3 linked regions of the Bombyx mori genome follow. The protein of the gene in region 3 binds, or shares a complex with, the protein of the main gene of each other region. Links are inferred from orthologs where the notes say so. Each region holds a gene or a part of one and is shown on either strand. Other genes may lie near its edges.

The links. The genes of interacting proteins can lie anywhere in the genome.
Region 1: nuclear pore complex protein Nup98-Nup96 (region 3) and nucleoporin Nup188 share a complex: the UniProt entries of both Drosophila melanogaster proteins name them as parts of the nuclear pore complex. The link is inferred for Bombyx mori from reciprocal best matches to the Drosophila melanogaster genes Nup98-96 and Nup188.
Region 2: nuclear pore complex protein Nup98-Nup96 (region 3) and nuclear pore complex protein Nup205 share a complex: the UniProt entries of both Drosophila melanogaster proteins name them as parts of the nuclear pore complex. The link is inferred for Bombyx mori from reciprocal best matches to the Drosophila melanogaster genes Nup98-96 and Nup205.

Annotation. Positions count from the first base shown.
Region 1 is NC_085111.1:4,865,065-4,868,720, forward strand, and holds part of nucleoporin Nup188, read right to left. Parts: intron 3,333-3,656; coding exon 3,040-3,332; intron 2,593-3,039; coding exon 2,293-2,592; intron 1,976-2,292; coding exon 566-1,975; intron 217-565; coding exon 98-216; intron 1-97. UniProt on the Drosophila melanogaster protein: Component of the nuclear pore complex (NPC), a complex required for the trafficking across the nuclear envelope. Required for proper protein transport into the nucleus.
Region 2 is NC_085121.1:1,021,337-1,024,992, reverse strand, and holds part of nuclear pore complex protein Nup205, read right to left. Parts: coding exon 3,566-3,656; intron 3,077-3,565; coding exon 2,967-3,076; intron 1,572-2,966; coding exon 1,427-1,571; intron 802-1,426; coding exon 510-801; intron 339-509; coding exon 223-338; intron 1-222. UniProt on the Drosophila melanogaster protein: Plays a role in the nuclear pore complex (NPC) assembly and maintenance, but with limited role in NPC permeability. Required for specific nuclear import pathways such as Mad import.
Region 3 is NC_085117.1:3,515,516-3,519,815, reverse strand, and holds the start of nuclear pore complex protein Nup98-Nup96, read right to left. Parts: upstream 2,911-4,300; 5' UTR 2,730-2,910; intron 2,696-2,729; exon of another isoform or gene 2,580-2,695; intron 2,449-2,579; exon of another isoform or gene 2,143-2,448; intron 1-2,142. UniProt on the Drosophila melanogaster protein: Part of the nuclear pore complex (NPC). Required for MAD import as part of the Nup107-160 complex and required for nuclear export of Moe probably via its association with Rae1. Plays a role in nuclear mRNA export.

The DNA.
Region 1 (3,656 bases), on a different chromosome or scaffold from region 3:
ACCATTGACGTGATCAATTTTGTACTTGAATTTTAAATTTAATTTTTCGGTTTCGTTTAAAATATTTTAAATAACATAAATGTTTATAATTTTTTACCTTGGCAATAAGGACGGCGTCGGCGGAGTGTCGTCGCTCGGAGGCTGCGCGGCGTCGGAGGTACGTCGCGATCGGATCATGTAGATCACGCATTGGTACAGGCACGCGCTTATACTTCTCTGTTCAAAATAAATATATATTTATGTAATGAAGATATTCTTTATGCACATTAACGTAGTATATGCATTTCACTTGACAAAAAAATATTGGGTCGGATTAAATTTTTTACAAAAATAACCTTTGTTCAACTAGAACATTTACGTTAATCAATTCCTGAAAAATGGATTGAAAGGTATATATGGAAGTGTTTTTTTATGTTCATTGGTCTTTCTTCCATGTCGAAACGAAGCGACGGACTGACATGTTTTTTTTTTAATTATGTGAGGAAACTGACTCCGGCAACCTTTTCATTGATCGTGAAGCCACGAATAACAACTAGTAATTTATAATCTTATCAATAATACTCACCATAATACCAAAAAGCGAATGCATGTTCTGTAAGCGCCATCTAGATTCGTATTTCACTAATTGAACTATAAGATTCAAAGCGGACGCGCATACATTTAACGAATCGATGCTGACGACCTGTCGTGGCAGGTTTATGGCCTCTATCAAATGTTCCAAGTGGACCCCGACAAATGTGATCGCGTCACTCGCAAAGAACTGACCGTGTTTCATGACCATCATGGATATAAAGTCTAAGCTGTACGAGTACACTTTCCACCACTCCTCGGGCTTCCAAGTTACGCCGTCGAATTTTGGCGGCAACAGTTGCATCCATAAAAACTGGTCGATATCGCTCAGCAAGAGCTCCTTAGAGAAAGGTCCCCGGGAGTACACAGTTAGGCACCGTAACGCCGCCAGGGACGTCTGGTAATGGCGACGGCTCTGTAAACACATCTGCAAACAGCACAGGAGCTTGTTTATGAATCGACTCGACTGGAACCACTGCGATAGTCCCGAGAACATGTCGTCGTACAACTCCAGACACTGTTCCAACATCGCCAATGATAGAACGACCGGCGATACGTCCTCGTACGTCGAGGGCTCGGTGGTCTTCGTGTCCGATTTAGGAAGATCCTTGAAATCGTCAAACAATTTCTCCAACTCAACGCTATTTAAATTGGTCACGGATCTAATAATGCTTTGCGCGGTGGCACTGTTAGCCTTTATTTCATAATCGAGACCGCTGATCGCGACTGTGCAGATGGAGAGGATGGCTTTTTTGGCCCTCGGGTGGAGGCATTCGTATATAATCGCAGTGTTGGTTAATAAACGATCGATTTGTTTGGCACTGGCTTTTCTGTTTTCAAAGCAATCGTGGCTCCAATTGGCCAACATTATGACGTACAGTTCGGCCAACATAACGACCAGTCTTCCGTCTTTCAGATCTTCGAGTTCGTTCAACAAGGCGGTCATGCAGGGGGTGACCATTTTCGCTTTGTGCGCTATATTCAAACTTATCGGTAAGGTTTTGCAAAAGATCGTGGTGAAATCTTTCCAAGAGGTTAACAATCCAAGCCAGACCGGCACTTTATCGACGGGCTCATTTTCGCTTCTACCTTTAAACGCAAATATATGGTTGATCCATTTGTCCAAATGGGTTTTGTTGGTATCAAACAATTGCTCGAGCATCAGTTTCAAAGCGTTTTCTATTTTCCCCCGAGAGACGAATAGTTCTATGCCGATAACGTTGAATATTTGCGAATAAGTTCTCAAGCCGGGCTGTATCTCACTGAAGAGTGGACTGGTCATGTAATCCCAAAATGTTGCGGTTTCGCGTAATTTTTTCACAAGAATCTGCATATTGTTCTTCCATAGAGCATGGAACAGACCCATTATGCACCCTAAGAGCGGACTTTGAAGTTGTTTCGCATCCTGAAATAATAATTACACAATTATGAATCAATCTGTAAGTAGGTACTTCTGTTTGTTTGCTGCTCTGATAAATGACTTCCAACGATGACTTATAACCTTTTACAGACTGTTAGCGTGGTATGGACATGTGACGCGTAAGAGTGGTAGTGCCAGGTAGAGAGGGAAGAGGTCGACCGAAAAAGACATGGATGGAGTGTGTGAATGACGATATGAAAGAGAGGAGTGTGTGTTGACTTGACGGCTGATAGAAGAGACTGGAATTTCGCTGTACCAACCCCACCTAGTGGGATAAGGTGGAGACAAAGAAGATGACTTACAGCCTTCACAGTTCCCAAGTACTCCGCCATATAACCGAGGATGCTTTCGTAGTTGTACAGGTTTTCCTCCTTATCTTTATCGGTTTCCTTGAGTTTTTTATCGTCATTCGTTTTTTCGTAGTTCATCATGAAGAACGCTTCAGTGAGGCCGGGCTGCGTGCCCACGCACGTGGCCACGAACTCTAGTATGGCCACTTTTAGTTCTGTCGTTTCGTACTCGTCGCGAAGTCGATCGAGGAACAACACCCGCACTTGGTACGCGGTCATGTCCAACGACGCGAACAAGGACATCTGGAAACTCTGTGTAAAAAAAAAATCATCAATTTAATTTTTTTTTTTTTTGTTAAATGGATGGACGAGCTCACAGCGCACCTGGTGTTAAGTGGTTATATTCCTTCTATTATAAAATAATATTGATGTCATAAGATAATGATAAAACCTATTGAGCCCCAAACCACTCGTAGCTTCAATTTGAATACTTATATGTTGAGAATCGAACCGGGAACCCGTGATTTAGTTTACTAACCAAATTATCAAATAATAATAACAAGAGTGTGGCAAAACTTTACAGTTTACAAATAAACTATAATATTAAATTATTATTATTTTTTCATTGTATCTAAGCCCTCGCTGCTTAATCAGTATCCTAGTTCGACCTTCGAGTTTTGAGCATGTATGTGTATGTCCTTTTTATCAAAATGAAACTTCACTTTTGCTTGGATTTTAAATAAATATAATAATACTCACATCGGCAAACATCTTCAAGAGCCTACAGCACAACACGGCCAAGCTTTTGTTGAACACGTGATTGATATAACTTGTCACTTTGGGTACAACTTTCAATGAATCCTTCTGCTTATTCTGAGTGAATATGAGATGTTCCAACGGCGTCATCTCGTTGGATCCCGTGACGAGACTCTTGAGACGCAAAGCGAACATGAGCACCGCCACGCACCTCTGTATTATCGATATAAACTGTGAACCCGTACCGGATGACCAGTTCGTTTCATTTTGTATCATGTTCTCTAAATGTTCATTTCCTTAAAAATTAAAATAAAACATATATTTTTATATTTTGTTCTCTACATATAGTAACAAAATAAATGAAAATAATTAAAATTTCAATTTATTCCGATCCGGTGGTAGATACTGCCCTGCTCTTGCAAAGGCTAGTGTTAGCAAGCCCTCTCAGGTTGTGCCCATGAGCTCAACTACCTGTCTGCGGTCCCGTGGAATATCCTTTACACCCTTACAGGGTACCAGTGAATGGATAGGAAAAAACACGTCATCTCGGATCCTCCCGATCCACTAAGGGTGCTTTTAGGTACCCCAAGCACTGGTCATAGTTTTCGTCGAATCCGTCG
Region 2 (3,656 bases), on a different chromosome or scaffold from region 3:
GAAAATATATAGATTCAATATCCGATATTGATCCTCGATATATAGATACGATTCGATACGCGGCAAAACCGATATTACCCACTCCTACAGTGTTGTGCTCGGAATCTCTGCTAAACAATCTATTATTATATAATATCCTTTAATCTACATATTAATGAACTGTAATGTATTTCTTTTATTTAAAAACAAAATATCAATAAATAAGATGTATGAGCGATGCACCTTTTGTATTTCTAGTTTGACGAGGTTCCTCTGCGGCGCCGTGGCGTTGAGCGCGGCCAGCTCGCGCGCCAGCAGCGCGTGCACCCGCGACACGCTCACGCGCCGCCCGCCCCCACCTGCACGGTTCGAGACGTTGTTGCCGTTAACCTTATCATTAACGTTTATAATATAATATTAAGTATTGTTATCACGGAAGAACCACCGAAATATTATAGCTGACAAGTTCTAATGATATAAATGTCACTTATCATTTTAATATATAAATTCAAATCTATAATGTATAGGACCTGTGGGCAGGTCACAGGATGCGATGGCCTGTCGCAGCTGCTGCGCGTGGAACAGCTCCCAGCGCGGCTCGCGCACCTCCTGCACGGCGACCGGCAGCTCCTCCAGCGTGCGGCGCAGCAGGCACCACTCCCAGTCCTGCGCGGGCGGCGCGGCGACGGCGCTGCGGCCCGTGAGCGCGGCCAGCAGCGCGGCCAGCGCGGCGTGCTGACCCGCGCCCGCCGCCGCGCCCGCCGCGCACGCGCACGCACGCAGCACCCACGAGCGCGCCGACACGGTCACGGGCGACGCACTCTAAACAATACAAACACAAATATTGCTTCGTAACTTGTCGATTCTACCGTCGCAACAGTTCAAGCTAATTCCAGTGTGAACACTTAAAAACTTATTTTTCATTACTTTTTCCAATCCATACTAATATTATAAAGCTGAAGAGTTTGTTTGTTTGAGCACACTAATCTCAGGAACTACTAGGCCGATTTGAAAAATTATTTCAGTGTTAGATAGCCCATTTATTAAGAGAGGCTATAGGCTATATAACATCACGCTAAGACCAATAGAAGCGAAGCACCAATAACGAATGTTTCAATATCGGGTTTTTTTCCCTTTTGAGCTTCCGCTGCGTGCGCTGCAGAAACGATTAAAGTTTCGCTGTAATAATGTATGAAAGATCTAAAAAAAAGTCCGCGACGGTATATGTCTATATGTTAAGGTTGGCTCACTATAACGTTTTTTATGCTAACCAAATTTGTTCTATAATAAAGCATTATTTGTGAACTATTCCACGCGGACGAAGCCGCGGGCAAAAGCTAGTCTCACATAAAGAGTCTTGGCTCCTGGCGTCGTTCCTGTGGTACAGCACTCACCCAGCCGGACTCGTGGACCGTCTTGTCTCTGTCACGTGACTGAAACAGTTTACCTTAAGGTCGACGTTGTGCTTGACGTGTCTACACAGGAAGTAGTCCCTGGACCTCAGGAAGCGCAGCGTCGGTGCTGAGGTGTTCGGCCTCGCGCACAGCCGGTACACCAGGCGGTAGCAGCTCTCGACTAAGTCGGTCGCTTCTCTGTTATCAGAATACATGTGTTGTATAATTTTATATCCATATAACTTGTATAGTTTTGACCAGAGATTTTTTAATATATATGAGCACACTCGGATTATTATCAAGTGGACGTCATTACGCCGCTTTGAAAAATTAGGCCTTTATGAGAACACATGACTGAGACATGAAAATTTTGGCAAATTTTATATATTATAATTTTTCTTTTGTTTTCTTAATGTGATTTTTTTCTTGTAAAGGAAGCATAAGTGTTTCCCTTTTCTTTTTTATTAATAATACTGAAGTTCGTTAATAAGCTTGTACACAAAATGAAAAAGAAAGTCTTAATTTTTTTTTAATGTTTGGTGTCCCCGAGGCCTTTCCAGTTTTACCAGGCCAGGAGGGGTGGGATTTGCTAACAGCTGCCCGAACGTCTCCAAAGGAGACCTATCAACTCAAAAGTAGTTGCTTCGCGAATGTATTTACTACCGGATCGGACTCGCGACCCACTGAGAAGATCCTACGAGAAACTCAGTGGCATCTTAAATGTATGAATAGCCCACTCATTGGAACCCCACGCGGAGCATCTACGCGCCGATAGTACCATGACAAAAATATGAAACGGCTCTAACAAGTCTTAGATCATAGGCATAAATTATCAACAAACAACCACACAGCTGCACAGTTTTGCATGTACATATAAGAAATTATGATTATTTTGTTGATTCGTTGTTACATAAAATCAGCAAACACACTGTCGTACTAAATGCAGAAGGTATACACGGCGCGGTCGGGCCAACGGTCCTTTGATGAATATCGTGTAGAGCAGGGGCTCTCAAACTTATTGAAGTGAAAACTTCTTTAGAATCGTTGTGATTTCAAACAGGATGCAACGGAAAAACGACAGGTAAGAGACACAAATACAAAAGAATGAGACAGAAATATACATACTATTTAATACAGCGCCATCTGTGAGATTTTTTTAATACTAACGTGTGTATGAAAGCTCTTGTAGTGAATTTTAATTTAGGATTATACGTGAAATTAAAATATCAATTCACAGAGGGCGCTACCTTACAATTATTTACTAATGACAAAATTTTACATATACTTAAGACGTTTAGGATAATTGTATTTTAATTTTGGAAGGTTTCACTTCTACCACGTGTGAATTGCACACATGTATTTTTTTTTGTTTAATGCCCACTTTGAGAATAAATTATTTTTTAGCGCTTCCATTTTTTCACCTACTATACCATTAAAGCGAGAGCTCAGTTGGTGTCTAAGAGCCCTCCTAGATGAACTACCCTACTCAACGCCCTCATTTTATTTCTGGGTCTCTTACCGCCCCCCTTTAGGCCTGCAGCGCCCACAAGGGGGCGTTATCGCCCACTTTGGGAAAAGCTGGTGTAGAGGCACCTGTTGGGAGAGTGTCCGGCGATGTGCTGGTCCAGCAGGTCCAGTATGGAGTGCAGGCAGGTCCGGGGGAAGCCCGCCACTCCCGGCTCGTGGATGGCACTCCGGGATATCTGTGTCACGAAAACATATCGCACACAATTATGGTGCTATAAAGTCTCTTATGCAATTTTTGTTACACTGAACTGAGTATGAGAAAATAAATTTTTTAATAGTTATTATTGAGACGAAAGAGATGTTTGGTTTTACTGATGAAGTTTAAAGTTGTAGTTTAAATATTATCATTTTATTTCTATAGCCTAGCAGAACTATATAAGAATTATATAATATAATCTTAGTTATATATATATTTTTGTTGTTGTTGCACTGTCGATTGCACCTATAATAATTAAGGTGACATCTGCCATGAACTTTTGTTATCAATTTGTTTGATGATCACTTTGTTGGTGCAACTTAATAAATAAATAAATTATATTTTTCTCCTGAAAAATTACATAATTTGCATAAGTGCCGTTATCGCACCGTATGTGCGATATATGTATTCACTATTCTAATGTAATGAACGGGTTAGTTGATGGGTTCAAACACAATTATCAACTCACGTCTTCAGTGAGCTGGTATCCCAGTAGGAAGTGCGCAAAGTTGGGAGGGGCCGCGGGCAGCACGTGGTGCAGCAGCGAGAGGACGCCCTCC
Region 3 (4,300 bases):
GTACCTATAAGAACATACAGTTCATTTAGAATGAGATGCAATATAATTATAAATTATATAACGATTTTTTTTTATATATATAAGATAATTATATAAGAGTTTGTATATTTGCTATTAATCAGTCTTATATAAAGAAACCTTTTTGTTTTATTTTAAAGTTTGTAAATTTTTTTGTTTATGTTACCCTATTATATTTTTTTTGGTATATAGTTGTTTTTATACAGCTACTTCAAATAGTACCCTTTTCATTTCGTAGTTTGTAAGAGTTTAATTATTTCAAATTTTATGTTTACTTTATAGTTTGTGGGTACATATAATATATTTTTATTAGTAGTACAATATATTATTTAGTCCAAACATTGTTTTATTAACAAAATACTGGTGCTTGCTTCAGCAATACACAATAACAGATGGCTACACTATCATGTAACAAAATGCAGTGTAAAATGTTCTTGAAATTAAAACATGTTTTATGAATAGGACTCTTTATATATAATGACCAAGAGTAGAAGGATCTTATTACACAGTGGTTCAGTGTGTTCAATTATGAAATCAATGTCATGACACAGATATTCCAAGAATGAAAGTAAAAGGTCACAAATGAGTCATGCTATAGTGAAATTTATAAGGAAAAATATTATTTAAATTTATTTCCCATATTAACTTTTTTATAGTCTTTGATTTCAGACAGATATGGGCCCAGGTGTTGTTCACCAACATTGTACTGTTCAAATTGAGACCTTACAACTCATATCTTGAGGTGGGTGGTGGCATCTACATTGCAGATCTCTTATGGGGTTAGGTTACCAGTTTATTCAAATGAGGCTTGTGGAGAGTATTAAGCGGTAGGCAGCAGCTTGGCTGTGCCCCTGGCATTGCTGAAGTCCATGGGCGACGGTAACCACTCACCATCAGGTGGGCCGTATGCTTGTCTGCCTACAAAGGCAATAAAAAAAAATTAACACCAAGTGGACCATGAGCTTGTCCACCCATCAAAGCTATAAAAAAACACTATCGGTAACCAATAAAACCATGGCCAAAATTATTATGCAACTTTTCAATCCTAAAGGCTATGTTTGAAACACATCCTTATTCTAAGACATGTCCTGTGTGCTTGAGAAATAGTGCACAGTATGCGGCAAAAACTATGACAGTTCCGGGTATTAGGAATGAGAACTGCTCCAGCTACAGCTGGTGTGGTTCTCAAACTATAGATAAATTTCAAATAGTTCATTAGAACGACAACCCCTTTAATAATTTTTTTAAAAGTATTGAAGTGTGAGCGTTCTCTTGGGTGTCCTGGCTTGGTTAAGTGGCTAGCAGAGCACATAATGCCACCACCCACCTAAAAACGTGAGATCCATGTCCCAGTTGTATAGTAATAAAAAAATTTAATGAAATAATTAGATTAAATTGGATCATAATTCCAAGATCTTATCTATTTGAATATGTTGGCCAAATCAACAATTTTAATCACCACTAAGCCTAATGTTATTTGGTTTCTTTGGAATTCCTTTTTATGGAGTTACTGCAGCCCTTAGACATCAACAACATAAATACCGCCAGCCACCTCGAGAGATGAGTTCTAAGTTAGTTGTAGCTTTTCCCTGCTTAAAGCCGTAATATATTGCTGCTTCATAGCAAAAACAGGCATGACAGTGGTATCTACCCATACAGGCTCATAGGACTCTGTAATGCCAGTGTGCAACGTGTTTAGTTTATAATACTGTTAGTAAGACCATAGCTTTGTTGGTAAAATAGTCAGTGAGAAGACAATTTTTTCCTCTGAATTCATACAGTTGGGAGTTATGATGTTTCTGATAGCCTAGAATAAAGTCATTTAGGAATAATTCAGTCATTCCACTTCAAAAGTTCATGTTTCGTGATGACTGCCATAATTGTCGGTTTATATGTGTTTGAAAATTAATAGAATGTCTGTCTACAAAGGCAATGTTACTGTTTTCAAAGACAACTGCTAGTTTCTCTCTAGAGACAATAAAAATATCACTAAGTTTTACAAAAAAAAAATACTTTTAAATTTTACAAAACTTAACCTTAATTAGATTTTAGTTTATATTTTATAAGATTAGTCGTTTTTAAAATCAAAAATAAAAATATTGAAAAAAGTATACAAATACCTACACTATTATCAGAATTTCTAACAATAGTATTTTTGAATTTTACTATTAAATTCTTTCAATTTATTCACTTTTATTGCAAAACGTATTTTAAATATAACTCTGTGTCTATTTGAATTCTATTAATTTTAAATTTTAGACGCAGTACTTAACCTAACCACAAGACGTTTAGAGAATTTCCGTTGGTATTGCACTTTATAGCGATAACTCGCAACCGTAAAGCATTGTTGCTGTATGCTTATTTATATTAGCTTTTTATTGCACAACGAATTTCACAATTTTATTAGAAAATTTTGCAACCAAAACGTGTGACGTCAATTTTGAGGTAAAACCAAACGAAATTAAGAGTGTCGCAATACTCGTTTGATTTATGTTTTTGAGGATGGTATAATAAGCAAGAAATTAAAAATAACGAAGATGTTTCGAAGATATTTCAATTACCTAATTTACAGTTTTCACTAATACTTCGTAACAAGTATAAACACAAATTTCGTGGTTATTATCTCAACTATTGTTATTTTATCAATTCAAATTAGGATCTTACAAATCGGTCGGGTAATCGACATAACGTTGGAAACTCAAGAATCTTACCGTGTTCGTATCGAAAGATTGTTGTGCGGCTTTAAATGCACGAAAAACCGTTCTCCTTTTCTTGTTCACTTTAATAGTACTTAATTACATATAATACTTGTTATTAAGAAGAAAACGCAGAATACATCGGCTTCAGTAGGTAAACAAAACAATGATCTGACCATCGACAATTTCAACTTAGATTGTTGAATCCATTTAAAAATTTAATTTTTAAGAAAAAAAAAACAAATCATGGACAAATAAATTTTAATAAGTTTTTAAAATATTACTACATAATCCAAGATCGCTAAAATTCGATTAGGGCAATGGCCAGACCGAGATCCCAAGTCACTAACATAGCTCATAAAATTAAAAAGTGGAATTAACAAGGCTGTTTTCTTATGCCAAGGAACTAAGAATTGATAAATCAGACTAGTTCATAAGTAACAACAATGCCAACTCCTTTGTTATGTAACTTAGATTAATATAAAACGTGTCTTCCAGACTTCCTTGGAACTTGAAAAGGGCTATACTTAGGTTTGCATGAAATTCGATAATAACGTCACACTCGTAGTTTAATTTATTAAAATCTGTTTGGAAGTCAAAATCTTCTTCACAATGATGTCGAAAAGTCACTTCAAAATATGGTTTTATTTAATTAAACCACAGAAGACTTTTTTTATTTTTTTTTCCTTTATAATTCTCTCTGCCTCTTCCTCTAATTTTACTGGTGGTGGATTATTACACTGTCTATTTCCGTCATGATCCAGCAAGTACTGGCTTAACCCGAGCTAACATTGACCCAGAACAAAAACTGTGCTTCGCTGAATCTAATACCGGATCGGAATCGCAACCCACAAAAAAAATCGATGAGAAAGACATTAGACTGTGTCTATGGGTTAATTGACGAGTTCGATGAGAGCGGTGATCAGTGCTTAGACAGTCTGAAAGCACCGAGAGTGAATCGGGAGTGTCCCGATGTGCCCCGTCGTCTGTGACGATTATGTAGTTAAAGACAGCCACAATAAAAAGGTTATCGCGTCGCACCGCTCTTTCGAAGAAGCGTTGTGACGGTACCTTCACGTGTTGGTTTTAATTGGATGTCGTTAATTCCTTACATACTAATGTGCTTCGAAGGCTATCTTGTAGAAACGGGATTGGCTGACCTGGAGTTTATGTGAGTGTGGAGCGCGTGAGCGAACACTACACTTGAATATGTCATGACGGAACGTATCCAAGTTTTCTAGAGTGTGTCCATAAACATGCGTTCCGGTCTTTAAAGGTTTTTTCTTATGAATGATGGATTACTGGTGGCTCAGAGGCCTTTCCAGTTTTACCAGGACAGGTGGGTGAGCACGGGCTCAGCCAGGAGGGTTGGGATTAGCTAACAGCTGCCCAAACGCCTCCAAACGAGACCTAACAACTCAAGAGCAACTGCTTCGTGAATGAATCTACTACCGGATCGGAATCACGACTCGCTGAGAAGATCCGGCGAGAAACTTAGCGGGCCGATGCATGGGTTAGCTTGCACGTCGAATTCTTTGCCGATTTCGACGACGACGACGATTTCGGTTACCGGGGTGTAAGCCTGC